4 linked regions of the Mus musculus genome follow. The protein of the gene in region 2 interacts with the protein of the main gene of each other region in a pairwise test. Links are inferred from orthologs where the notes say so. Each region holds a gene or a part of one and is shown on either strand. Other genes may lie near its edges.

What was found.
Region 1: the proteins of Creb3l1 (region 2) and Fxyd3 interact in binary tests that used the Homo sapiens proteins (3 or more experiments, as listed by UniProt). The two-hybrid records come from large-scale screens. The link is inferred for Mus musculus from reciprocal best matches to the Homo sapiens genes CREB3L1 and FXYD3.
Region 3: the proteins of Creb3l1 (region 2) and Tspo interact in binary tests that used the Homo sapiens proteins (3 or more experiments, as listed by UniProt). The two-hybrid records come from large-scale screens. The link is inferred for Mus musculus from reciprocal best matches to the Homo sapiens genes CREB3L1 and TSPO.
Region 4: the proteins of Creb3l1 (region 2) and Tmem11 interact in binary tests that used the Homo sapiens proteins (3 or more experiments, as listed by UniProt). The two-hybrid records come from large-scale screens. The link is inferred for Mus musculus from reciprocal best matches to the Homo sapiens genes CREB3L1 and TMEM11.

What each region holds. Positions count from the first base shown.
Region 1 is NC_000073.6:31,072,777-31,078,776, reverse strand, and holds the start of Fxyd3 (FXYD domain-containing ion transport regulator 3 precursor), read left to right. Parts: upstream 1-2,079; 5' UTR 2,080-2,156; intron 2,157-5,141; 5' UTR 5,142-5,155; coding exon 5,156-5,195; intron 5,196-6,000. UniProt on the Homo sapiens protein: Associates with and regulates the activity of the sodium/potassium-transporting ATPase (NKA) which transports Na(+) out of the cell and K(+) into the cell.
Region 2 is NC_000068.7:92,020,248-92,026,013, reverse strand, and holds the start of Creb3l1 (cyclic AMP-responsive element-binding protein 3-like protein 1), read left to right. Parts: upstream 1-1,843; 5' UTR 1,844-1,908; coding exon 1,909-2,010; intron 2,011-5,766.
Region 3 is NC_000081.6:83,561,473-83,567,493, forward strand, and holds the start of Tspo (translocator protein), read left to right. Parts: upstream 1-2,100; 5' UTR 2,101-2,172; intron 2,173-6,021. UniProt on the Homo sapiens protein: Can bind protoporphyrin IX and may play a role in the transport of porphyrins and heme. Promotes the transport of cholesterol across mitochondrial membranes and may play a role in lipid metabolism, but its precise physiological role is controversial.
Region 4 is NC_000077.6:60,875,118-60,880,867, reverse strand, and holds the start of Tmem11 (transmembrane protein 11, mitochondrial), read left to right. Parts: upstream 1-1,829; 5' UTR 1,830-2,099; coding exon 2,100-2,155; intron 2,156-4,820; exon of another isoform or gene 4,821-5,094; coding exon of another isoform or gene 5,095-5,108; intron 5,109-5,750. UniProt on the Homo sapiens protein: Plays a role in mitochondrial morphogenesis.

The DNA.
Region 1 (6,000 bases), on a different chromosome or scaffold from region 2:
CCCTCTCTCCAGCCCCCTCACGTAAGCTTTTTAAGAAACAGCACATTTCTCAGTAGGTAAAATGTCAAAGTACAAGTGGGATTACCGATCTCTCCTCTGTCTTCTTCCATATGGGTGTGACTCTCTGGGGATATTTTATCCCTATACAAGTACATACACACACACACACACACACACACACACACACACACACACACTCCACTCCACACCACACCACACACAGACACTGTCTCTCTGCCACAGTGGTATCACCCCCCTCCACACATACACCTCACACACCTCACTTTGGTCCCTTATCAAGGAGACTGAAGACTGCTTACATCTAACCACAGGGTGCCACTTATCTTAGACAAGATAGTCATTCTCACACTCATCCTGCCTCACAATCTGCTCGCGATTCTCACCTGGTCCCTCTAGCATCTGGGTGCACACCCAGGAGGGATGAAGGACAGAAACCCAAGCTTTCCCACTCCCACCCCACCTAGCTCCTGCTCTCTGATGCATGTAGTTCTATGATGTCCAGCAGAGGGAGACACTCTCCTACTCTTAGGACCACCAAGGGTTTTAGATGTTTTCCCCAGAGGCAGTCGAGCTTCTGGAAGATGTGGCTAGGTACAAAGATGCCCTAAGGGGACCTGGAAGTCTCTTCCCTCCATCCCAGGCCAGACCACTGCCAGGCCTGTCCTTCCTCTGTTTGTATCTCTAGCTGTGCTTCTTGCTTTGGTACTGCCCTGAGGGAGGGCTCCGCTCCTTTATGGGAGGCAGGATGCCTTGTCCTGGCTAGGGCCTGAAGATCAGGAGCTACCAACAGGGAACACAGACTATCATAGTTAAGTGAGCTACATCAGGGAGGGAGGCCTTGGCGAGAAGTGGGGAGTCCTTTTCCTTGCCCCACAGACCCTTGGCCCTAAGTTCCCTTAAACTTTCCTCTCCACACCCACAACAGCAACCTCTCCCAAGCCTGGTGCCTCTGGGTCTCCACCCTACCGCCTTCACCATAGTGTTGGGGGTCGTCTGGAGTCCAGCTGGTGGCCGAATAGAAGCCACCCCTTTCCTGGCCCTGCCCCTCCCGGTGACCCCAATCCTCTGCCAGCCACTCAATGGTGCCTTGTTCTCCATCCAGACCCCGGACAAAAGTTCTTCTGTGTAAGGAGGAAGAATTTTGGGGGAGGGGGCACCTCCAGCAGGGACCATGTGGGAGCCTTACAGACCCCAGGCGGAAGGAGTGCCATTTGGACAGGGGGCAGGGAAGGGTGGGGGCTTGTAGAGTACAGGGAACTCATCTGCAGTAGAGGAAGACAACTTTGACATCCACATCCATGCCCACACCCACTCCGTAGATTGAACGTCCACCCGACATCTCCTCATCTCTGAGAGAAACGTTGAAAGTCAGTTCGGTTTTCAGTCTTCTGGGGCCTGGTCTATGAACCCCAAGAACCAGACCTTCCCCAACTTCTACCCACCACTTGAGTGCCTTCTTCCTATTACAACTTTGGCCTTGTCAGTGTCTTTTATTAACCCCTGCCAACAAAGAATGCAGAATGGAGAGTGGGCTTTAGTTCCCTACAAATGCCAGTGGGTGCATCCCCAAACAAAACAACAACTGGTGGTGCATGCCTTAAATCCCAGCCTGCGAGACAGAGATGGGTGACTCTCAACAAGATCAAGTCCAGCCTGGTCTGTAGTGTGAGTTCCCAGGCCAGCCAGAGCTACATAGTGAGAGCTTGTCTCAAACAAATAAAGAAAAAGCCCCACCCCCACTACAACCTAAATCAGAAACAGATTACATGTATGTTCCACGTTCTCCCACATCGTTCCAGGATGATGGGCGTCTGTCATTAAGGACCCCAGAATCTTCCCCGTTCCCAGTCTCCTTTGATGTTTGGGAGATCAGACACACCCTCTTCCCTCCAATCCTCAGCCCACCCTGGTCCCCTTCCACTTTACCTGAGGCTACTATAGTTAAAGAATGAGTAGAACTGTCTCTTTAAGGGAGGAATGGAGTGGGGGCGTCCCTCGCCTCAGGGAGACCTGACTTGTGCCTGCCTGCCCAGGTTTGCTCAGGGCGTGGCAGTGTGGATAAAGGCTGTCCCGGCTTGGCAAGTCCATACTCTGCTTTCTCCCGGAACCACCTCTCAGCCTGTTGAGCTACTCAGGTGAGTGGCCTTGGGGGCCCCTTCCTCCCTGAGCCTCTGCTCCCCCACTCTCTCTAACTCTCCTCTAACTGCACCTATTACATAGAAACTGGGGTTAAAGACCCCTAAAACTTTCCTGCTTAAAGATTCTTTTATGGGGACAGGAGACTACCCGCCTCTGTCAGCTGATTGTCCCAGATGGCTCACCTCTGTGGGACTGGATTATACAACTGGGGGGACTCACCTGATATTCATAGACGGATTGGGGAAGCCTGGGGGAGGTCTGAGAAGATGAGAAGTCTGGGTTTACCTGAGGTATCTGAGGTGTCAGGGTGTACAGGAAGTGACTACATCGTAATATCGTGATTGAGGGTTTCTCAGTGGATGAGAGTAGAGGGGTGTCTAGGGGTAACTAAGTAGATGAAGAGTAATTTAAGTGCCCTGGGGGGAGGAAGCAGATGGAGGTGTGTGTCTGAGCGGCCAGGTATTATTAGGGCACAAGGAAGATAGATGAACACCAGGAGAGAGAAGTCTGATCCAGGGAAGCTGTAAAGCGGGACTTGGTTAGGAGATGGGGACTCAGATGACAAGGGTGTATGCATCCTACCCTGCAGATATGACCATCCACCGTCCTGGAGTAGGGGAAAACACGGAAGCTGCCCTCTGACTAGCACAGGCAGGAAGCAGATGAGGGGTGCTTAGTGTCCCAGCAAGGCTGGTTCTCTCTGTGCTGGCTCCCACTCTGGTTCACTCAGAGATTGTGGTCCTTTGGGGTCTTGGAAGAGTCTGGAGAGAGAAGTGTAAGAGGTGAGATTCAGCAGCCATATTGATAGAGCACACAGCGTTAGGATGAATTCCCATGTGATGGCTGTGTGGGATAAGAACAGTGTCAGCTTCATCAAGCTGAAAAGACAGTATGAGGGAGTCAGGCTGGAACTGAGAAAAATGGCCGCATAGGCTGGGCACTCAGCTGCAACCCATGCATGTGTGACAGAGTATCAGGGGGCAGCCTTAGACCACAAGCATCCATAGCTGAGACCCCTAACCACTACTGGAGCTCCCCAAAGCTTGCTGGGGCCCTAGACATCTGAGAAATAGTCCCCAAATCAACTACAAGAAATATATGTCTAATCTAAACAAATGGGTCCAGGGTATGTGTGTGCATGGTATGTGTGTGTGTGTGTGTGTGTGTGTGTGTGTGTGTGTGTGTGTGAGTGATAAGTGTTAATTAAGTCCAGGGCCTGAAGAGCAGGCTAAGCAAGCCTCCATTGCTAGCCCCTCTCTGAGGGATTCTAAGCAGTGGCTCTACCACTGAGCCACGCCCCCAGCCTCTCACAGGGGGATTCTAGGCAGGGGCTCTACCACTGAGCCACGCCCCCAGCCTCTCATAGGGGGATTCTAAGCAGGTACTCTACCACTGAGCCACACCTCCAGCCCTTCACTGGGGGATTCTAGGCAGGGGCTCTACCACTGAGCTGTATCTTATATCCTTTTTTTTAAAAAAAAAAAAAAACTTTTTATTTTGTGACAATATCTCACTAAATTGTTCAGTCTGTCCTTGCACTTAGTCGTATCCCAGGCTGGCTTGGAAGTAGAATTTCTCCTGCCTCGGCTTCCCTAGTTACTTGAATGGCAAACCTGTAGCATTGATTTAGATTACTAAAGAAGCTGAAGGATTTCTCGGCCTCTGGGATTGGTCCCAGAGAAATGGCAACGTCTGTGTGAGCATGTGGGACTCCCCTGCACCATCGGTGACTGGTGGCTCCATTCCCAAGTATGTGCTTTGGTGTGAATGAAAAAAGGTTAGTTCTGAAGGGTGACATTGGGGCTGCTGGGGATTAAAGAGAGGAGTCACTGTAAAGTCACTGGACAGTGTCCAGCAGGTGGGGAGCCGGGATGAGTGTTTGTGTGTGTGTGTGTGTGTGTGTGTGTGTGTGTGTGTATGTGTGTGTACACGTGCTTACGAGCTCAGGACAGTTGAGCAGGGCAAGCAGGGGAGGTTCACAGGCAGCAGGACTTTTATTACAGGCCTCCAGGGTGATAGAAAGACAGATGGTCACAGCCAGGGCTGTATGGAAAGGGCTCTGTGCTAAGCCTCACTGGAGAACCTGTAGTGTTTGCTGTCAAGAGGGCTGGGGGGAGGAGTAAGCAGGGGCTGAGCAGAGTGAGGGCTAGGGTAGGGGGCAATAACTGGAGTAGAGTTGGGACTGCAGAGAACGCTCAGTGGGGTCTCAAGGGACAGACCCAGGGGTGGGGCAGAAGACAGAGGTCCCTCTGGACATATCCCACCAGCTTGACATTATTTCCCTCATACACGCACCCAGCAGCCCAGGGGGTCAGCTCAGGCCTCAGCTAGAAGCCTGCAGTGTGTGGGCAGAGCCTGGCAGGCTCCAAGCTGTCTGTGCGAGCCACTCCCAGAACCCGGGCCTCCTGCCACCTGGCTCCTGGCACCCTCTTCCCCAAAACACCCCGGGGCCCTCACAGTTCTGAGTTATGAACAGCTAGTTGGGAAAGAGGCATTGTTTAAATTCTGCTTTCTGGATCAAGTCATCCAGGGCATCAACTTTCTTGTATCAGAGCCTCAGTTTTCCCATCTGTAAGATGGGGCTAACAAGCTGGATTTGATGGTGCACACCTATAATCCTAGCCCTTGGAGACCTGAGGCAGGGGGTGGCAAATTCAAGGCCATCTTAGACATAGCAAAACACTGTTCTACCTCCTCTCTCAAGGAAAAAAATCCATTCACAGTAAAACCTAATATCACTGCCAGGAAAATGGCCTCTTTGCACATAGGACCTGTTCCTTCATGGAACCTGAATGCTCACCCAGCCCCCACTTGACTTTGGGGCTTCTTATCTTCCTGCCCAGTGAGCTTCAGGTTCACTGCCAGTCTTCCTGTGTGTACCCTGGGCTGTGTTCCTGGTGAGCAACAGGTGAGACAGAGGTACAAAGCCTTACATCCTGGTCACCCTGCTGAGGTTAGGCCTGTTTTCTGGACTCCTCTAGGTCAAGGCTTTGACATGCAAGAGGTTGTTCTGAGCCTGTTGGTCCTTCTAGCAGGTGAGTATCTGGCCCCCAAACTGCCTTTTCTCAGAGCCTCTCAACGGGCAGACTCTCTCTCCCCCCCCCCCTCTCTCTCTCCCTCCCTGCTTTCTCTCTTCATCCACTGGGGAAATGCCATTTAATCATCAGTGACAACAAGCAAAAGGCTCAGTCCAGTACTGTTGTGCTGTGTGTCACACCCTCCCTACACTGCCATCCCACAAGCAACCAGGAGGCTAGCAGTGATGGAGCAGGTAACCTGAGTACCCTGTGCCTCAGTTTCTCCATCTGTGAAAACACAGAGAAGAATGTCACTTAGTCATAGGGGCTTTGTGAGCCCTAAATGAGTTAATGTTTGACCAGGGCCTGGGTGGAGCAGGCTCCAAGCGTGTGTGCCTAAGAATTAAGCATTGTTTTTCTCCCATTAGCAGAACTCAGGCCCGGAATGAAGCCAGATGAGCTTTCAGCCAGAATTGAGTTCTTCCTCCTTGCTATTGGCATGCTTTTCTCCTTCCTCACCTGCTCTGCCTCTTCTTTGCATGTGTATGACTGTGTGTGTTCATGTGTGTGCATGCATGTGCGTGTTTATTCATGTGGCAGCCAAGGACACCTTTGGGTGTCATACCTGAGGAGCAAGCCACCTTTAAAAAAAATTACTTATGGATATGATGGTTTTGCTTACTTGTCTGTGCTTGGTAACTGTGGAAGCCAGAAGGGGGCATCAGAACCCATGCAACTGGAGTTAGAGATGGTTGTGAACCATTTTGTGGGTGCTGCAGACTGAACCTGGCTCCTCTGCAAGAGCAGTCATTGCTCTTAACCA
Region 2 (5,766 bases):
CTGAAAGGCATGGAACTGGTGCTGAGCACCTGTGCCCGGAGTCTGTGCAGGGATGGCGAGTGCTCCCATCTGGGCCTTCCAGGAAGGCTTCCCAGGGGAGGAGACACAGAAGCCAAGAGTGAGAGAGCTCAGTGATAAAGACTAAATAAAGAAGCTGCAAGTCAAGAACTGAGATGTGGCTCAATTGGCCGAGAGGCAGAAGGCCCCAGGTGTGATCTCCAGCACTACCAAAAGCTGGGTGTGATGCCAGGCAGCAGTGCATGACTTTAATCTCAGCACTCCGGAGGCAGAGGCAGGTTGATCTCTGTGAGTCTGAGATCAGCCTGGTCTACAGAGCGAGTTCCAGGACAGTGAGGGCTAACTACACAGAGAAATCTGTCTCAAAAAACGAATAGATAATTGATAGATAGATAGATAGATAGATAGCAACAAAAACACTACATGAGACCCTGCCCCTCCCCATGTGAACACATACACACACACATACACACACACACACACACACACACACACACACACACACACACCATTGTGGAAAGGTATTTTCTGAGTCTGGAAGAACAGACTCTTGCGTCATCTCCCCAACCCAGGGAGGATAGAATTCCCTGACTTTGGTTTAATCCAGGGTTTAATATCAAACTGAAAAAAGCCTGACACTGTGGTGCACCTGACTGAAGCAAGGGGGAAACTAAGTTTGAGGGCAACTTGGTCTACAGAGAGTGTTCCAGGCCAGCCGGACCTACATAGACACCCTATTTAAAAAAAAAAAAAAAAAAAAAAGGAGAGAGAGAGAGAGAAGATGAAGAAGAAGAAGAAGAAGAAGAAGAAGGAAGAGGAGGAGGAGGAAGAAGAAGGGGAGGAGGAGGAGGAAGAAGGGGGAGGAGGAGGAGGAGGAGGAGGAGGAGGAGAAGAAGAAAGAAGAAAGAAGAAGAAGAAGAAGAAGAAGGAAGAGGAGGAGGAGGAAGAAGAAGGGGGAGGAGGAGGAGGAAGAAGGGGGAGAAGGAGGAGGAGGAGGAGGAGGAGGAGAAGAAGAAAGAAGAAAGAAGAAGAAGAAGAAGAAGAAGAAGAAGAAGAAGAAGAAGAAGAAGAAGAAGAAGAAGAAGAAGGAAGAAGAAGAAGAAGAAGAAGAAGAAGAAGAAGAAGAAGAAGAAGAAGAAGAAGAAGAAGAAGAAGAAGAAGAAGAAGGAGAATTAGGCGAATTTGGCTTCCTAGTCAGTCCTCAGTTTACAGAATCGTGGCTTGTAAAGCCATCACAAGCCGTCCAGGTTTCACGAAGCCTACAGTTTCCAGGATAATTTTGCCTTTATCCCCCTTATTTGAGCACTCAGAGAGCTGAGCCAGCCAAGGAAACCTAACAGACACACGTCTCTTTAAAGGAGAGGCGACGAAGCCCCAGCCACGCCCTCTACTCATTAATATTGAGTTATCGTGAATATTGATGTGGGGGCGTGGCGCCCGGGCCAGCTGGGTTAACCAGCCCCGGGTTCCCAGTTTCAGACTCCGGAAAGTGACAGAAGCCGCGCAGAGGAAGAGACCCAGAGAGATCTCTGCGACTCGGCAGCCACCCATCCTCGGGGGAGCATTGAGCTCCCCCGCCCCTGGCTCCCGCCCGGCCTGGGGGGCTCCTCCAGCATCGGCCCCACCCCCGGGCTCCCCATGGAAGCCAGCTGCGCCCCGGGAGGAGCAGGAGGAGGAGTCGGCTGAAAGCCCACGGTGCTTTCGGCGCCGCTGCCCTAAGGCCCCCCAGCGCCCCCGACCCGCGCCACCCCCACCGCTCCTCCCCCGGGGCTCGCCCGGACCTGCCCCCCGGGCCGCCTGCCCGCGCCCAGCCGCAGCCCGGTGCGGGGTTCGCCGCCGCCCTGGAGTGAGGAAAGCGCAGCCCGAAGGGGTCCCCTGGAACCCGGCGCGATGGACGCCGTCTTGGAACCTTTCCCGGCCGACAGGCTGTTCCCGGGATCCAGCTTCCTGGACTTGGGAGACCTGAATGAGTCGGATTTCCTCAACAATGCGGTAAGAACGAAAGGGTCTCGGTTCCCCTTTGCACACAACTCTCACCCCTCTCCGCAGAGCGCCTGGAACCCTGCAAAGACCCGCAAGAGCCAAGGAGGGGGTTCAGCACAGGGTCCCTTGGATGGACACGTGCTAGGGTTTTAAGATGGGGCAACTAGTTCCTTGGACGCCCCTCTTAGACCAGGAGCCTAGAGAGTAGGCTCGCAGCTCTCGCCCCACACCACTCCTGGGGACTCAATCCAAGAACACGTTGGCCTCTGGCTTCTAGAGGAAGGGGACAAGGAGGCGTAAGGGGCCTCTGAATCTCGACATGAACTAACGAGACACCAATCCTCACCCCAAACCCCACAGCCCGCGCGCGGCATAGTCAGCCATAGTCTTCCATCCGCCCTCCACCCACCCCAAGGTTCTGGAACCAGACTGGGCGCAAAGTAGAGGAGCTCTTTCCTGCGCCCTCTTTAGGGCCTCGGTGGCTCTGGGGCTGTATCTCCGCCTGGGGGCGCACAGGGGTGCTTTCCCAGGCCAGACGCCCGAAGCTTCTAGGGGGTCAGAGGCAGACCCAGATACAGAGCCAGACCCAGAAACTGAAGAACCCTGCTCTGGCCTCCCTCCCGGGAAGGCAGTAGGGGGTGGTGGGACAGGGAAGCACCGGGTGACGTCTCAGAAGACCCTTTTTTTTTCCTATCAGTCTCTTGGCCACTGTACTTCTTGTCCCTAAGTTCCCTGTGGTTCTGCTAACTTTGTCTCTCCCTGTGGCTTCATGACTGCTCCTAGCTGTGAAGTTATCCTCCTTCTCACTCCTTTCCCCTTCTTTTCTAAGGAAACGTGGCTCTCTCTTATTTCCTTTCACTCTCTTTCACTCGGGCTCAGCCCTAAGACTTGATGGAGGAGGAGCATGGCTGACAGACAGATACACACACACACACACACACACACACGCACACGCACACGCACACGCGGTGGGGGGGGGGGGGGGCAGGATTCAGGGGCTCATCCTGAAGAAACGTGGGCTGTTTGGAGAATCTTCTGGGAACCCACCCCCACCATGGAATGAGCCACATTTGCACACCCCTCCACCCCACACACACCAGAGACCAAACACATGGCTCCCCACCTGTTTGTCTCTACCTCTTGCTCTAACAAAACTTAAGCAGACAAAGGCCTTAGATGTCATTGAGTGTCCTGCTCAGCTTGATTTCGCGTCTCCATCAGTTAGGGAGTCATGGGGTGACAGATCTCCCAGGCATTCTCAAGCAGCATGTCCCGGCCTTGCTGTCTGAGGGAGGTTGTTCAAGTCTTAGTCTTCTACATCAGATGGAAGGAACTAGGAGAGATGCTTAGTCTTAGGAGAAGTGGCAACACCCTCATCCTGCCTCTGTTTCCCTTGTGAGCCTGGGCCATGCGTGTCTCTCTTTCCCCCTCAGGCCTCCATTACCTGATCTGTAAAATGGAGGGAAACCGGGCCAGTGCTTCCTAAGGATGGTTCTAGATGCTTCCCAGGAGTAAAACAACAGCTTCCTGAGGGACCACATAGCCCTCTTGGAGCAGGTAAAAGATTCTGCTCAGAGGGAAAGAGGTTTGTTGGGGCCCAGGCTCCAGGGACAGTGCAGCTGGGGACCGACTGAGCTGGGCTTTCTTCTCAATGAACGCTGCAGCCTGCTCTGCTCTGTAGCTGCTCTTCTGGCCTTGCTCCAGTGCAGGAAAGAATTCCTGATGCGCAGTGGGACACCAGAAGGGAATGGCCAGCTGGGGCCACAGCCCTCATCTGGACCAGGGTTGGATAGTCATGGCGAAGAGGTTTCCAGGAGGAGAGGGCTCCTCTCCTGGCTAGAACATGGAAATTCTACATCTGCCTCTGCTTCTGCCACCAGCTAATGGAGCTGTTCACATAGACTTATGCTCTTCAGGGCTTTGATTCCCTTATCTGTAATGGGAGAGCATCTTTCCCTGTAGCATTATTGTAAGGACTTGGTTAGAAGATTAACATAGCCAGGTGGTGGTAGCACACACTTTTAATCCCAGCACTGGGGAGGCAGAGGCAGGGGGATTTCTAAGTTCGAGGCTAGCCTGGTCTACAGAGTGAGTTCCAGGACAGCCAGGGTTACACAGAGAAACCCTGTCTTGAAAAACCCCCCAAAATTAATTAATTAATTAATTAATTAATTAACATAAAGATGATGTAGATTAAGGCCTGCCAAGGAAGAGACCTGACTTCTTCCATGCACTGAATGAAGGAGACAAAACGCTCAGCTGGGAGTTGCTGGGTGACTTTGAGTGAGTCCTGTTCCTTCCCTGGGTCTTCAGGATAGGAAGGATGTGTCTACTTGGAAGATGGAAATTTGTGTCTTCAGTGTCCTTAAAAATCCCTAATGTGGGCCATTAAAGCTACATGGGGACTCCATGTGCCCCACCCCACCCCCACTGCACTAAAACCAAAAAGGGAAAGCCAGTTTCTCCTGGCTGTAACTGAGAAGACAGAACCCAGGGAGTCTAGCAGGCAGCCTGCAGGTAACCAGTGCTGGCCTACCTCTGAGGCCTTCTTCCTATTATTGAGATGAGTCCTATGCAACTTTAGAGGCCCCCTTAGAACAGAACAGTGGTCCTTCTCCCCAGAGGTGCAGGGCTTCTCCTCCAGCCTCTCTGTCCTCCCACAGCTCCCAAGTGACTGTTCTTCAGCTCTCTTGCAGCACCCTATGGTCCTTTCAGCCCTGTGCGTGCAATAAAGAGTCTGGACTCAGATAACTGGCATGGAAGAACAGAAAGAGAGAGGGTCTGTGCGTGTCTTATCTCTCTCCTCTGGCCAGAAGAAAGGGATATCTCTGGTTTCTCTCCAGGGAACTGACTCAGGATTCCAGAGAAACCCCAGCTGGGAGGTGTGGGAAGGAGGAAGAGGGGGAGCAGGGAGAGGGGGGTTCTGTTGTCTCAGAGGGGAGCAGCAGGAAGTTGCAAGGATGTTTGCTCAACACACCCATGTACCTCTCAGCAGCTGGGAAAGCCAGGTGTGGAGATGAGGGGACCCCAGGACTAGCCCAGAGGAGGGGTTTGGAGGGAGGTCAGGCCGATCACTGCTCCCCAGATTCCCAGCCTGACTTTTGCACTAATGCTGAAGTGGAAAGTCAACAGGCCCCCACCCCCCAGCCTTTAGAGGATCTGGGGAGATTAGAGAAGTATGTGTGTTTGGATGTGCCTGTGTGGGTGGGCTTTCTGTAGCCTTCGACAGTGTGCAGTGTGTGTGTGTGTGTGTGTGTGTGTGTGTGTGTGTGTGTGTAGTCTGACCAAAAGAAGGGCCAAGGCACGAGGAAAAAATGAATAATAATAAAAAAAAAACCTCATTGGGAAATCAAAATCTCAGAGCTCTGATTCAATAGTGAGGGCTTCTCAAACACTTGAGTTTGGAGTCCATGGTTTGCTTATTTTTACTTTTTTTTTTTCCTTCCCTGACTTTTGAGGAAACAAGTTCCTGAGAGCCAGGGGCTTCATCTGCCTCCATTATCCCAGTGCCCGACAGAACTCCGTACAAGGTGTAGGTCAACCATTGACAGATGCGTAAATGAATGAACGAGGTTCAGGTCAGACTCCAACTATGTTATGTGGTGGGGTATGCAGGTGTGTGCTCGGGTGTATGGAGGTGAGAGGACTCCCTTCTCGGAACCACCTAACTCTTGAGACTGTCTCTCCCTGGCCTGGGGCTCACTAAGTAGGCTAGACTGGCTGGCCAGCCCCAGGAACCTGCCTGTCTCCACCTCCCTAGCACTC
Region 3 (6,021 bases), on a different chromosome or scaffold from region 2:
TTCAAAGCCAGCCTGGATTATACAGGAGACTCCAAAAATAAAGATTAAACAAAAATGGGAGCTGGAGAAATGGCTCAGCAGTTAGGAGTACTAGCTGCTCTTCCAGAGGAGCTGGGTTCAATTCTTACAACCATCTGTTTGTTTGTTTGTTTGTTTGTTTGTTTGTTTGTTTGTTTTGAGACAGGGTTTCTCTGTGTAGCCCTGGCTGTCCTGGAACTCACTCTGTAGACCAGGGTGATGTCGAACTCAGAAATTCACCTACCTCTGCCTCCCAAGTGCTGGGATTAAAGGTGTGCGCCACCACGCCCAGCTCTCACAACCATCTCTTAACTTTAGTTCTAGGATGTCCAAGGCCCTCTTCTGACCTCTGTGGGCACCAGGCACAGACATGGTACGCATACATATATGTGGTAAGATACCCACACGTGTAAAACAAAAAATAAAAAGGTCAGGTCCTTTGATTGCTGGCTCAGTGGACTAAGTTTAAACTCACATAGGAGGCTGTGCTTGTAAAATTTCAAATCTTTGCAGCCCAAATTTACATCCACAGGCTGTAGCAAGAAGGTAGTAGCAACAACAGTCGAGTGCGCCAGAGATGTATACAGTTGCATACTGATGTCATAACACACAGCATGAGGCCGCTGGACCACAACCCACTTCCAAGGATCTGAAGGACAGAGGGACTCTGGCAAGAGCTCTAGGAGGACTAGCCAACCTAGACAAAATGAGCCACTGAGAGGGAAGATGCTTCAGTTAGTTTTCTGTTTCTATCACTGAATGACATACTGGGCCATTTATATAGAGTACAAGTTACCGTCCTCAGGGTTGTAAAGTTCAAGGTCAGAAGCTGCATCTCACAAGAGCCTCCTTGCTGGTGGAGACTCTCTACAGAATCCAAGGGATGTAGGGCTTCATCTGACAAGAGGGGCCCTATCCGAGAACCTGCACTGGCTGGCTTTGATACCAGACCTACACTCAGGATAACCGATGGATCTATTCCTGAATGAATCGTGAATGGATAGGGGCCACACCGTGAATCCTTGGGACATAGTCACCTCAAGGTCCACCTGGTCCCACTTGGTTTCACCTCTTGATTCTTCACAACGGGGACTAAATTTCCACCATAGATCCCCTCCCCCAGCTCCCTCTCCCCCTTCCCGGTGACAGTCAATCCTTTGCAAATACACAATAGGACGTGAAACCTATCCAGGAGGCAGACAAGGGTACGCCAGAGGGGCGCAGAGAGACTGAAAAGCTGTAGGCACGTACAAGGCATGTAGAGCCGTTGCCGCAGGGATTGGCAAGGCTGCAGAGGTGTGCTGAGAGATGTCTCAATCAGACCGCCTTCGGCTGCTGTGCTGCTGGTTAAGAACAGGAAGCCCGGGACTGGGACGATACCTTAGTGGGTCGCATGCTCACCTTTACCTTGCAGACACCAGGATCTGAGTTTCATTTCCAGAACCTGTGTTAAAACCCTGGGTATAGTAGTACACAGTTATAATCCCAGGGCCCAGGAGGTTGAAACAGGCAGATTGGTGGGGCTCCTTGCCCAGCCAGCCTACTCTAATTGACTCACAGGAAGAGGTTGAGGGCTGCCAGCAAGTGGGTGTGGCCAGGCATAGCGCCTAGGGCCTTACTAACACAAGAGGCAGAAAGCGGTTAGTTTTGTTTTCCTTTATTTTGGGCAGTGCTGGGGATTGAAACTCAGGGGCCTTTGCGTGCACAGAAAGTACTCCACAATGGAACTATATCCCAAGTCCCTCATTAAAACAAACAAACAAATAAACAAACAAACAAAAAACACAAAATACGGATAAGATGATAGGTAGAATTCAGCCAGGCACAGTGGGGGGGGGGGGGGGAATATAATACGCAGCTCAGACTGACTGCGAGCTCACTGTCATCCTCCTGTCTCGGTGTGAAATACAAACATGTGCCACCTCTGTGGCATTCGTTGTCTGCCTGTCTGCGATGCATCTCTCCCCTCTGTGTCCAGGCCCACGATGAGGAGAGAAAAAAAGAGGGGTGCCTGGTTGAGGGCGGGCCTGGGAAGGCAGGGTGCCTCCGGGTGCGGCGCAGGGCGGGGCGGGGCGAGGCGGGGTCAGCGGCTACCAACCTCTGTGCGCAGTGTCCTTCACGGAACAACCAGCGACTGCGTGAGCGGGGCTGTGGGTACGTGAGACCCTGACGGCGGGGAGCCAAAAGGGAAACTGAGGCCAGGTCCAAGCGGGAGGGACTCCTCCCGAGGATGTGCTGCTGAGGCTGAGGGTGTTTGGCCTTTGGGGACAGCGGCCAATGTCCTGTGCCTACCTCGGTGAGGCAGGAGTTGGCTGCTGCAGCTGGAGGCAGCTGGGCGGGAAGAGGAGATAGCCTCTGGCTGCTGGGAATCCTGCTTCCCCTGCAGAGGAGTTCTGGGATCCGTGGGAAACCGAGACTATGCAAAGCCCAGGAGCCAGGATTTGAGCGGCAGCTGCCTAAGCCTGCTTTGAGATCAAAGCCTGCATGTGTGGTGTGGACGCTTCTCCTGCGTAGTGATTTGTGAACTTGGGTACTGCGTGTGTGTGCCTGGCCGTCTCAGGGCTGAGACCCGCCAGCGTCTAGAAACTCTTGATAGTGGTAGGTACCTGAGGGGTGAGGCCGACAGACAGCAGGCTTGCTTTTTAAGCTTTTCTCTGATCGGAGTTTTCGGCTTCTGTTTGTGTTCCCCTTGTTAGGGGGTTGTGCAAGCGGCGCCTTGAAAGCCAGTTTTGTTTGATAAAGTTGCCACTCCGCCACGCCATTTCCCCACACCCCAGACCTCATGGTGACCAGTTCCTGCCGGTCCTAACTGACCTGTTGCTGGCGCGATGATTACTTTCAGAATGAGAAAAGCTGGCAAAAGGTATAAGGAGGATTTGCAAGTTCGTTAAAAACAAAAAGTCCTAAAATTCCTCGGGACAGAAACGGCTTTGCTGGAAGGAAAGCTCAAGGATGGGAGGAGCTTCACGCAGTGGACGGAAGAGGGCGTGGCCGGCTCCCTTCTGTTTCTGGGTCATAGTCTCTAGGGAAGCCCCAGGGCAACAGGTACCCCAGGCCCATTGGCTCTGACCTAGCTTCACAGATAGCAGCCTAGGAGAAGGAGGGCTCAGGCATCCTTTCTGGCTGTCCTACTAAGAGGTGGGGCCCGAAGCTCTATGGAGTGATGGTGCTAAGTATGGAGAGGGCGATGCTGTTGGCCTGTGTCCATCAGACACTGAGAAGAGAGACAGCCTGTGGACCTGATCCTTGCCCAGGGCATTGTATCCCAAGGGAAGGTGACCGAGAGTGGCCGAGTGTCATTGTGGATGTAGAGATACCAACCTGGAATGTTCTACAGTTTCCCCATCAGTTTCTTTCTTTCTTTCTTTCTTTCTTTCCTTTCTTTCCTTCTTTTTTTTTTAAAGATTTATTTATTTATTATATGTAAGTACACTGTAGCTGTCTTCAAACACCAGAAGAGGGCATCCGATCTCATTACAGATGGTTGTGAGCCACTGTATGGTTGCTGGGATTTGAACTCAGGACATCTGGAAGAGCAGTCAGTGCTCTTAACCCCTGAGCCATCTCTCCAGCCCCATATCAGTTTCTTTACCTGGAAGGTGACACTAGCAATAAACCCTTTCTGGGGACTGTGGATCAAAGAGAGGTGGCTGACCCCTGCCCTGTGGCTGCTGTGGGGAGTACATGAAGGTTTGACTGAGTGAGTGAGTGCCTTTGAGTAAGGCTTGGCTCCTTTACTGAGGCCCTGGGGTGGTGACCATCGAGAAGGCCTACTACCATACTCTCCTCTGTCTAGTCCTTATTCTTCTGTCCAAGATGCTCTCTGGAAATGAAAAGGTAGCCATCTCCTCCTCCCCTAGAGGAAGCAGCTGAGTGGTCCCTGAACTGATAGTCACAACCCTGGGTGGAGTTTTCCAGGGAGGTCTTGGTGTTCTGTCCTTCCTTCCTGGAACACCCCAAGGACCCTGAGCAAGCTGGTGACAGGGTGAAGCTTAGGATGTTACATGTCTTCTAGAAGAGACCGAAATAAAGGGTGAGTGGGTGGCTTTGCCCCTCTGAGTATCTCCGTCCTGCACTCTATACTATCCTGGGATTCCACCCTGAGCTGATCTCCTGCCCAGCTCAGTCTAGCCGAGGGGTGACTCAGCTTTATGGGCCCCACCCCTGCCTGTCTACCACCCCTCTGTGTGGGTGACTCAGGAACTGGGCAGTCTCCAAGAAGTCCCTGGAAGGTCCCTGGCCCAACTTTCTCCTTCAGTTTCAAGTGGGGTGGTGACTGTCCTGTTTTGTGACTTTGGATGGAAATAGGGGGCCCTCCCTTTGATCCCCTTAGTGAAGCAGAGCATAAAGATAGTCTTGCCTTCCAGGGCGGCTAGAGGGTGGGAGTAGAAACCTGGGGTCCAGTGTCCTGTCCCTAGATCCTGTCCTTATGGTATGTCTTTGGGACAGCCACCACACTATAATGGGAGACTTGATGGACTCTGAAACATTGGTTGGTCCTGTTTAAGAACTTCCCAGACACAGAGAATGCCCCCCTTGCTCCCACCCCTGGCGCATAGCTGTCATGAGAGCACTTTCTCCTTCAAAGCCATGGCAAGAGGGAAGAGGTACTACTGTGGGGCGTAAGGCTGGCAAACCTCTAAGGCAGGGAGGGTTCCCAGGAAGGAAGCCAGCCACACACAGGCTCTGACCCGCTAGGGAGTGTTCAGGAAAGGCAGCTTCTGAGGGACCTAAGGGACTTGCTGGTCATGAGGAAGGGCAGGGCTGGGTTGGCACAAGAAACAAGTGCCCAGTAGGCATTGGTTTCTTTGTGGGAAATGCACACGTTTGGAACTTGGTGTCAATGGCTGGGGAGACAGCAACATCATTGACTTGTGTGATTGCTACTTTACGTTTGGGGACTTTCAGCTAAATTACTAAAACCTGTTGTCTGCAGTGGTGGTGCTTGCCCGGGAGGCTGAAGTAAGAGGACGACTATCAGTTTGAGGCTGGTCTGGGCTACATGGTGAATATCTTTGTGCCCCTATTAAGAGAGGAGAGCCAGGCAGTGGTGGCACATGCCTTTAATCCCAGCACTTGGGAGGCAGAGGCAGGTGGATTTCTGAGTTCAAGGCCAGCCTGGACTACAGAGTGAATTGAGAGAGAGAGAGAGAAGAGGCTGGCTAGAGAGAGATGGCTCAGCAGTTAAGAGCATTGACTGCTCTTCCAGGGGTGCTGAGTTCAGTTCCCAGCAAACACATGATAGTTCACAACCATTTGTAATGGGATCCGATGCCCTCTTCTGGTGTGTCTGAAGACAGCAACAGTGTACTCATATACATAAAATAAATAAATAAATCTTAGAGGAAGGAGGGGAGAGAGAGGGGAGGACAGAAGGGGAAGGAGAGGGGAAGGGGGAGGGGGAGGGGGGAGGGGGGAAGGGAGGAGGGAGCAATAGTATAAACCAGGCTGTAGCAGTGCAGGCCTGCAGGTCTGTAATCTGAGCCCTCAGGAGCTGGGAGGCTGAAGTAGGATGGTCATGCATTCAAGGCTTAGCCTGGGCTATGGAGTTCCAGGCTAGCTTGGAACAAACAAACAACAACAAAACCAACTGAAAACACTAACAGGTGTCCCCAGGCCATGGAACAGGAGTGGTACTGTGAAGGGGACTTGGCAAGGTGGAGCAGTGACCTTAAGTAGGGACACTACTTCTCCCTCCTTCTTTTCCTCCTAAGTCCCTCTGTGCATCCCATGTTGGTATCCCATGCTTGCAGTCCTCCTGCCTTGGGGCCCCAGTGCTGAGGGATTACAAGATGTGCTACAGTGCTGGGCGGGGCAGTGCAGTTTCTTGTCTAAACTTTGGAAAATGCAGAAATGCAGAATAAATGGCCCACAGGCTCCATTAACCTCCCCCTCTTCTCAGCGAGCTTCTCAGAAAACAGAAGTGGTCCCCTAGGCTGCTTCTCATACTCGCAGGTACTCCCCTCATTCAGCATCTCATTACCCCAGGTACTCTTCTCTATT
Region 4 (5,750 bases), on a different chromosome or scaffold from region 2:
GGCTGCAGACAGGCAGGTGTTGGAGTAGTCACCAAGAGCTTATATTTTGAAACAATCACCAGGCAGAAAGAAGAACAGGGCCTGGCATGGGCTTTTGAAACCTCAAACCCATTCCCGGTGACTCACCTTCAACAATAAAAGCCAGACCTCCTCATTCTTCCTAAACAGTACAATTGGGAATCAAACATTTAAATATATGCGCCTATGGGGACCGTTATTAAAACCACCGCAGACTATGACCTGAAGTGTAGGCCAAATAAATCCTCTTCTCCCTTAAGTGGCTTGTGTATTTTTATCACAGCAACAAGAAATAAATCTAAGACAGGGACATAGATCCCCGGTGGGATCCACCATGTCTCTGACTTGGCACCAGAACACTAGATCCTTGAGGACTCCCAGTAAAGGCAGACCCTCCTGGCTAGCTGCTTCCCAGCTTAAATGTGGGCTTGGCAGTCCCTGGTCAGTACACATTGTTTTTTGCTCATACTGCAGTAGGGCTGAGAAAAGGGTTCAGACATCCCCTAGGCAGTGGCTATAGGGTAATGGGAAAGAGAACACGCCCCTGCACCTTTTTTGTTTTGTTTTGTTTTGTTTGTTTGTTTGAGACAGGGTTTCTCTGTAGCCGTGGCTGTCCTGGAACTCACTCTGTAGACCAGGCTGGCCTCGAACTCAGAAATCCACCTGCCTCTGCCTCCCAAGTGCTGGGATTAAAGGCGTGCGCCACCACTGCCCGTCACCCCTGCACTTTTATCAGGTTCCTAAAGAGCTGAGAGCTTTCTCACAGATGTTCCTGGGTAGTAGAGTGTAGTTAAGGAAGGGGGAAATGGGAGAGAAAACATAGATTTTTACCTCCTGGCTGAGTCACAGGGACCACCTACATAAGTTCCTAGGTTCTTGTGTCTCAGGACAAAGAATTGTATCAGAGATGCATAGTTAGCAATAGAGGCAATTTACTTAAAAAAAAAAAATTTACAAAGACACTCAGGTAGGGAATGGGCTAGTGATCTGGAAGAATGCATAACCTGAAGTCCTTAGCCATTACCTGCCTTCTCCAGGCCAAGTTTTTCTCTTGCATGCTGTTTGTTATTGAGTAATCCAGGCAAGGAAGGGATCCCAGGCACTATCAACTGGCATTGATTGATTGATTGATTGTGTCTGGGTGTTTTGTGCACTACACGTGTGCTGTGGTCGTAAGGCCAGAAGAGGGCGTCAGACGTTACTGCAATAGCTGACTGTTGTTAGCTACCACGTGCCAGAAACTGATCCACAGTCCCCTGAAAGAGCCGTTAGTGCTCTTAAGTACTGAACAATCTCCGCAGCCCCCTCATACCTTATTCTTGACGTCTCTCTACACATCCCTATTCTTTTGCCACACTTGCATGTGTTACGAGTTTGGCAATCGGAGGCGGAGTTGCATATTCAATTTGAAAACCAGGAACTTTATAGAAACCAGACAAGCATAAAACCTGACTGGGAGGAAAAGGCGTTTTAGGGCAAGCACATCTACAGACCTTCAAAATCTCTGGATTTGTCAGCCGGGCAAGTTCCGGTCAGGAGAGGGGGGCAGTTGACGCCGCGGAGGCAGAGGTAACCTTCGGACTGAAGGTGCACGAGTTCTGGTCTGCAGATGGGAAAGGAGAAAGGTTAAGCTGCTCAAGTCATTGTAAAGTGTGAGAACTGGGGGACTCAGGCCCCCAGCGGCCGAAGCCACGGTGAAGGGCAACAGGGCCGAGGCCAAGGGTTGGGCCTCTCAGGCTGTGAGGGCGGGATCGTCGCGCGAAGCGCTCTGGGAGTGGTAGGCGCTTTCTTTCCGCTCTCCTTCAGCCACTCGTTCTGGGAGCCCAAGGACGTCCAGGCGGTGGGCGCAGCGACTCGCACTTTGCGACTTGAAGACTCTTTCCTAAGGCGGATCCCACCCCCTCGCCCTCTTGCGCGCGGCAGCTTACAGCAGGCTTCCGGCGTGAGGTATTGTGGGCAGTGTAGTCCTTCTCGCAACCTCCCACCTCGTCCGCGCGGCTCACGGGACTACGTTTCCCTTCGGCTCCCGCGCGCCCTGAGCCGCGTCGGCTCCAGCCCCCGACGAACCGAGAGTCTCCAAGATGGCCGCGTGGGGAAGGAGGCGTCTGGGTCCGGGCGGCGGCGGCTCCCGAGAGAGGTAAGCTGGGCTCGCGACCGCGGGCGAAGGTCGACCGCAGAGCCGGCGAAGCCTCTGTGCCACGCGCGACTCCGGATCGTGTGCCCGCCACGCGCGGGGCCCAGTCCGCGGGGGCTTAGGTGTGGGAGGAGCGGGGCGGCGCGACGGCCAGGAGCGAGGGGAGCGCGACTCGGAGGGGCGGCGACCCGCAGCCGGGTGGGCGGTGAGCCAGGGTGAGTAGCTGCGAGGGCCGCCACGCTGTCCTACCGAGCGTCCTGTGGGCTCCGGGCCGCTGGCTCGCGCACGTGGCCCGCTCGGCCTGGGCGCCCGGTGTGGCGTGGATGGGCTCCGGGGAGAGGAGGAGGGTAGAGGCTCGCGGCGCCGTGTGCTTTATAGGGGCGTTTGCTGAGAGCGGCAGCGTGCCGGGCGCGCCTCCAAGAGCCTGAGCCTGGCCGCCTTGTGAGCGAGCAATCGTCGCCACTTTTTGAGGGTTCTCTTCGAGCACTTCTGCCCTAAGTCCTTTGTAGTGACCTTTCCTACTGAATGCGTTTGGGGGCGCTAGGGGTTTTGTTTCTTCCAGTGATTTCCGGATGACAAGAGTAGTTGACGTGTTTCGGGTTGAACTTGTAGCCTTTTCCTTCTGGGAATTATTTTTAGCTAATAGGTTACTAGAAGCTGTTCAACGATAAGAAGTTTGGGGAGGTGGGTGTATATCGGTGGCGCTACTGGATTAACCTGCCCAGTCGGTCTTGCTAAGTCCTCCGCATTTTACTGTGGATGTCAGAAAAAGGAAAAGAAAAAAAAAAAAAGCAAAGTTTGACTTTTTCCCCTCCGTTTCCAATGAGTACTGTCAACCATAAAAGTTGTGTCTCAACTAATCTGCGTTGTTCCTTTTTGACTGACGCATCCCATGTTTCTTGCTATTGCATACGACAGCTTTTCCATCCCACACTAGTCTTCCTGCTTGGCAGAAGTGGTAGCCAGTTTTACTCCTGAGTTCGGTTATGCTAAATAATCCGTTCTGCGTTTACTGTGACATGGAAAAGCAGTGGCGAGGAGTGTTTGTTTGTTTGTTTGTTTGTTTGTTTTTTCCCTAACTCCCACTTATTTCTTAGATAAGAACAGCCAGAGAGGTTATCTTGTTTTCCGAGTCCTTAAATCCCTAAGGATGCTTTCAGGATTTTAATTTCAGCCCAACAGAAGGGAAGAACTTTCCTAATATTTCTGTTTGCTTGTTTTTAGAGCCACGTGTGTAGAGTCATTAGAGTTACTGTGTAGCTCTCTCTGGCTGTTCTGAAACTCACTCTATAGACCAGGCTGGCCTTGACCTCACAGAGGCCCGCCTACCTCTGCCTCCCAAGCACTGGGAATAAAGGTTTGGGCTACTGCACCCTGCCATACTCTTGTTCTTGGACACAGACTGAAAGGGCCAAACATGCATGCCTCAAGTGTGAGACAGGAGTCTTGCTAGCCTACCTAAGAAAATGGAGAATTTTTCCTTTGTCTTGAAACAGATATTAATTAAAAGCAGTTTGTCAACCAACCGCCCATAGTTTAGTCCAGGCCTTGCTGGTTGTGCTGCAGCAGCCTTTAAGGGAGTTTAAGTCCAATGCAGACAGAACTCACTGTGAAGCTAGATAGGGAGTGGTTCTCCTCAGAGCCACTGGTGCTTGTTTCTCACTGAAGTCTTAACTAGGTAAGGTTATCGTCCTGGGTCCTGTAGGTGTTCAGGTTGTGACCTTTGCCCAGGAATTGAAGGTTCTTCCCAAACATGCAGGTGCTGTATGTCTGCCAGGGATGGGCGTCTGATTTTATGATTTGAGAGTTGCCATCTGCCCTCCTTCTGGTGCCTGGAGGTTACTCCTCTGTCGGCCTTTATGGGAAGGGCCCTTCCAGAGAGTTCATTCTCAGAACCCCATCTCCGTCAGGCCTCCCACTCTAGGCTGTGTGTGGAAACACACTCCCTCCTGACTAGCAGACTGACTTCTGGGCGCACCTCCATTGCTGCTTGGTGGCCTGACAGGATGGAGCAGACCAGAATAATGTACACTCAGCACCCATAGATTGTGAGCACCAAGTGTTGACTCTGTGACACAAGCTGTTTGTGCCTTCTAAGTGACTCTGTTCCGTGTCACATTTGGACTGACTCAAATTTCAGCTTCATGTTGAGAGAGAGCACTTCCAGAGTTCTTCACACCTTCCTGCCCCTGCCCTGTGCTGAAACCAAAGGGGATGCTGTGTGCTTTGTGGCAAGGCTGGAATGGGCAGTGCTTTGAACAGACACTGTGTTTGCCAGTGGCTGCATACTCTGGTGCATATGTTATATTTAAGGCCCCACTTTGTGCTGGTTGTCAGCTTAGTTTGCAGTGGTTCTTGCTGTGCCTGTTAAGTCCAGAAACACAGGCTAGTACTAGAGCTGAGTGACAGCAGTTCAGTAGCTGCTAGCCATGTGTGGCGATTACATTGAAGTTAAAATTAAGTACAGTGAAAAGTGTAGCTCTCAGATAGTAGACCATGTGTCTGGTGTCCAGTACTTGCTTTGGGCTAATGACTAAGCCTAGAGAGAAGTTTTTCCATCAGTAAAATAGATAGGAACAATTCTGATCTAAACTGAGATTGGAGGGGGAAAGGAGCAAACAGAGAGCTGCTTGTGTGTTGATTCTTCTCTCCACTCCATTAAATCTAGGGAAACAACAGTATTTGTAATGAAGAACGTCAAACTCTGAGCTGTAACCTGAATTCTTGTCCAAAATTGAGCATACTGACAGCAAGCACAGCAAACAGATTGCCGTTTGTCCTGCTGGCCTCTTTGAGGCACACTTATCCATCTAGGAAAGCAGAGCAGGTATCTGTGTTCTACCACCTGGGTGTCAGCCTGGACCAGCTCTCAGACAGCCCTGCTTGGCCTTTCATGGCTTACTTGGTGCTGCTCAGAGCTCCTGAGCATCTCTGAGATCTCCATGAGTGTTGGAATGTGAGTATGGCCCTGTACTCTGAGTTCCTTTTTTGATGATCTTGTAAAGATAATTGATCTGCATCTGACCATGATACAAGTATGGCTTGGGGTATTCAAGTTTCCTTCCTCAGTTCTGGGCATTTGTTAGGCAGCAAGTTGTCATGGGGTTGGTGGCCTCCACATCCTTCCCTGCCACCTTTTCTTGGAAGACCATGCCATTTGTGAATATGGGGGGACAGGGTCCCAGTGGCCATTATAGGGTTAGTACCTACTACAGCTGAACAGCCATTATTTACATTCCTGGGATGATAGACCCCCTTTCTGCTCTAAGCCTTTTAGAGCTGAGGACTCTAGGGATTTGAGGCATTTAGTATTTCAGGAGGTTCTCATTCTGGCTTTGGTATGTATGGTGGATTCTTCCTCCTGATCTGGATGGAGTGAGCAGGCCTGGGACATACAACAAAGTCTCTTGACCTATAGCCACTGGATGGGGATGAGGCATGGGGGTTCTGTCTGTTGGCTGGTGAGAGATGACAGCACTCACAGCTGAGCCACATGTTCTGCTCTCAGACATTAATGTGTAGGTTGGCCTCTGCCATGGTCCAGCCTTTGGGGTATATTTCTGTTTCCCTGGGTTTTATTCAAGCAGCCCGAGTTCCA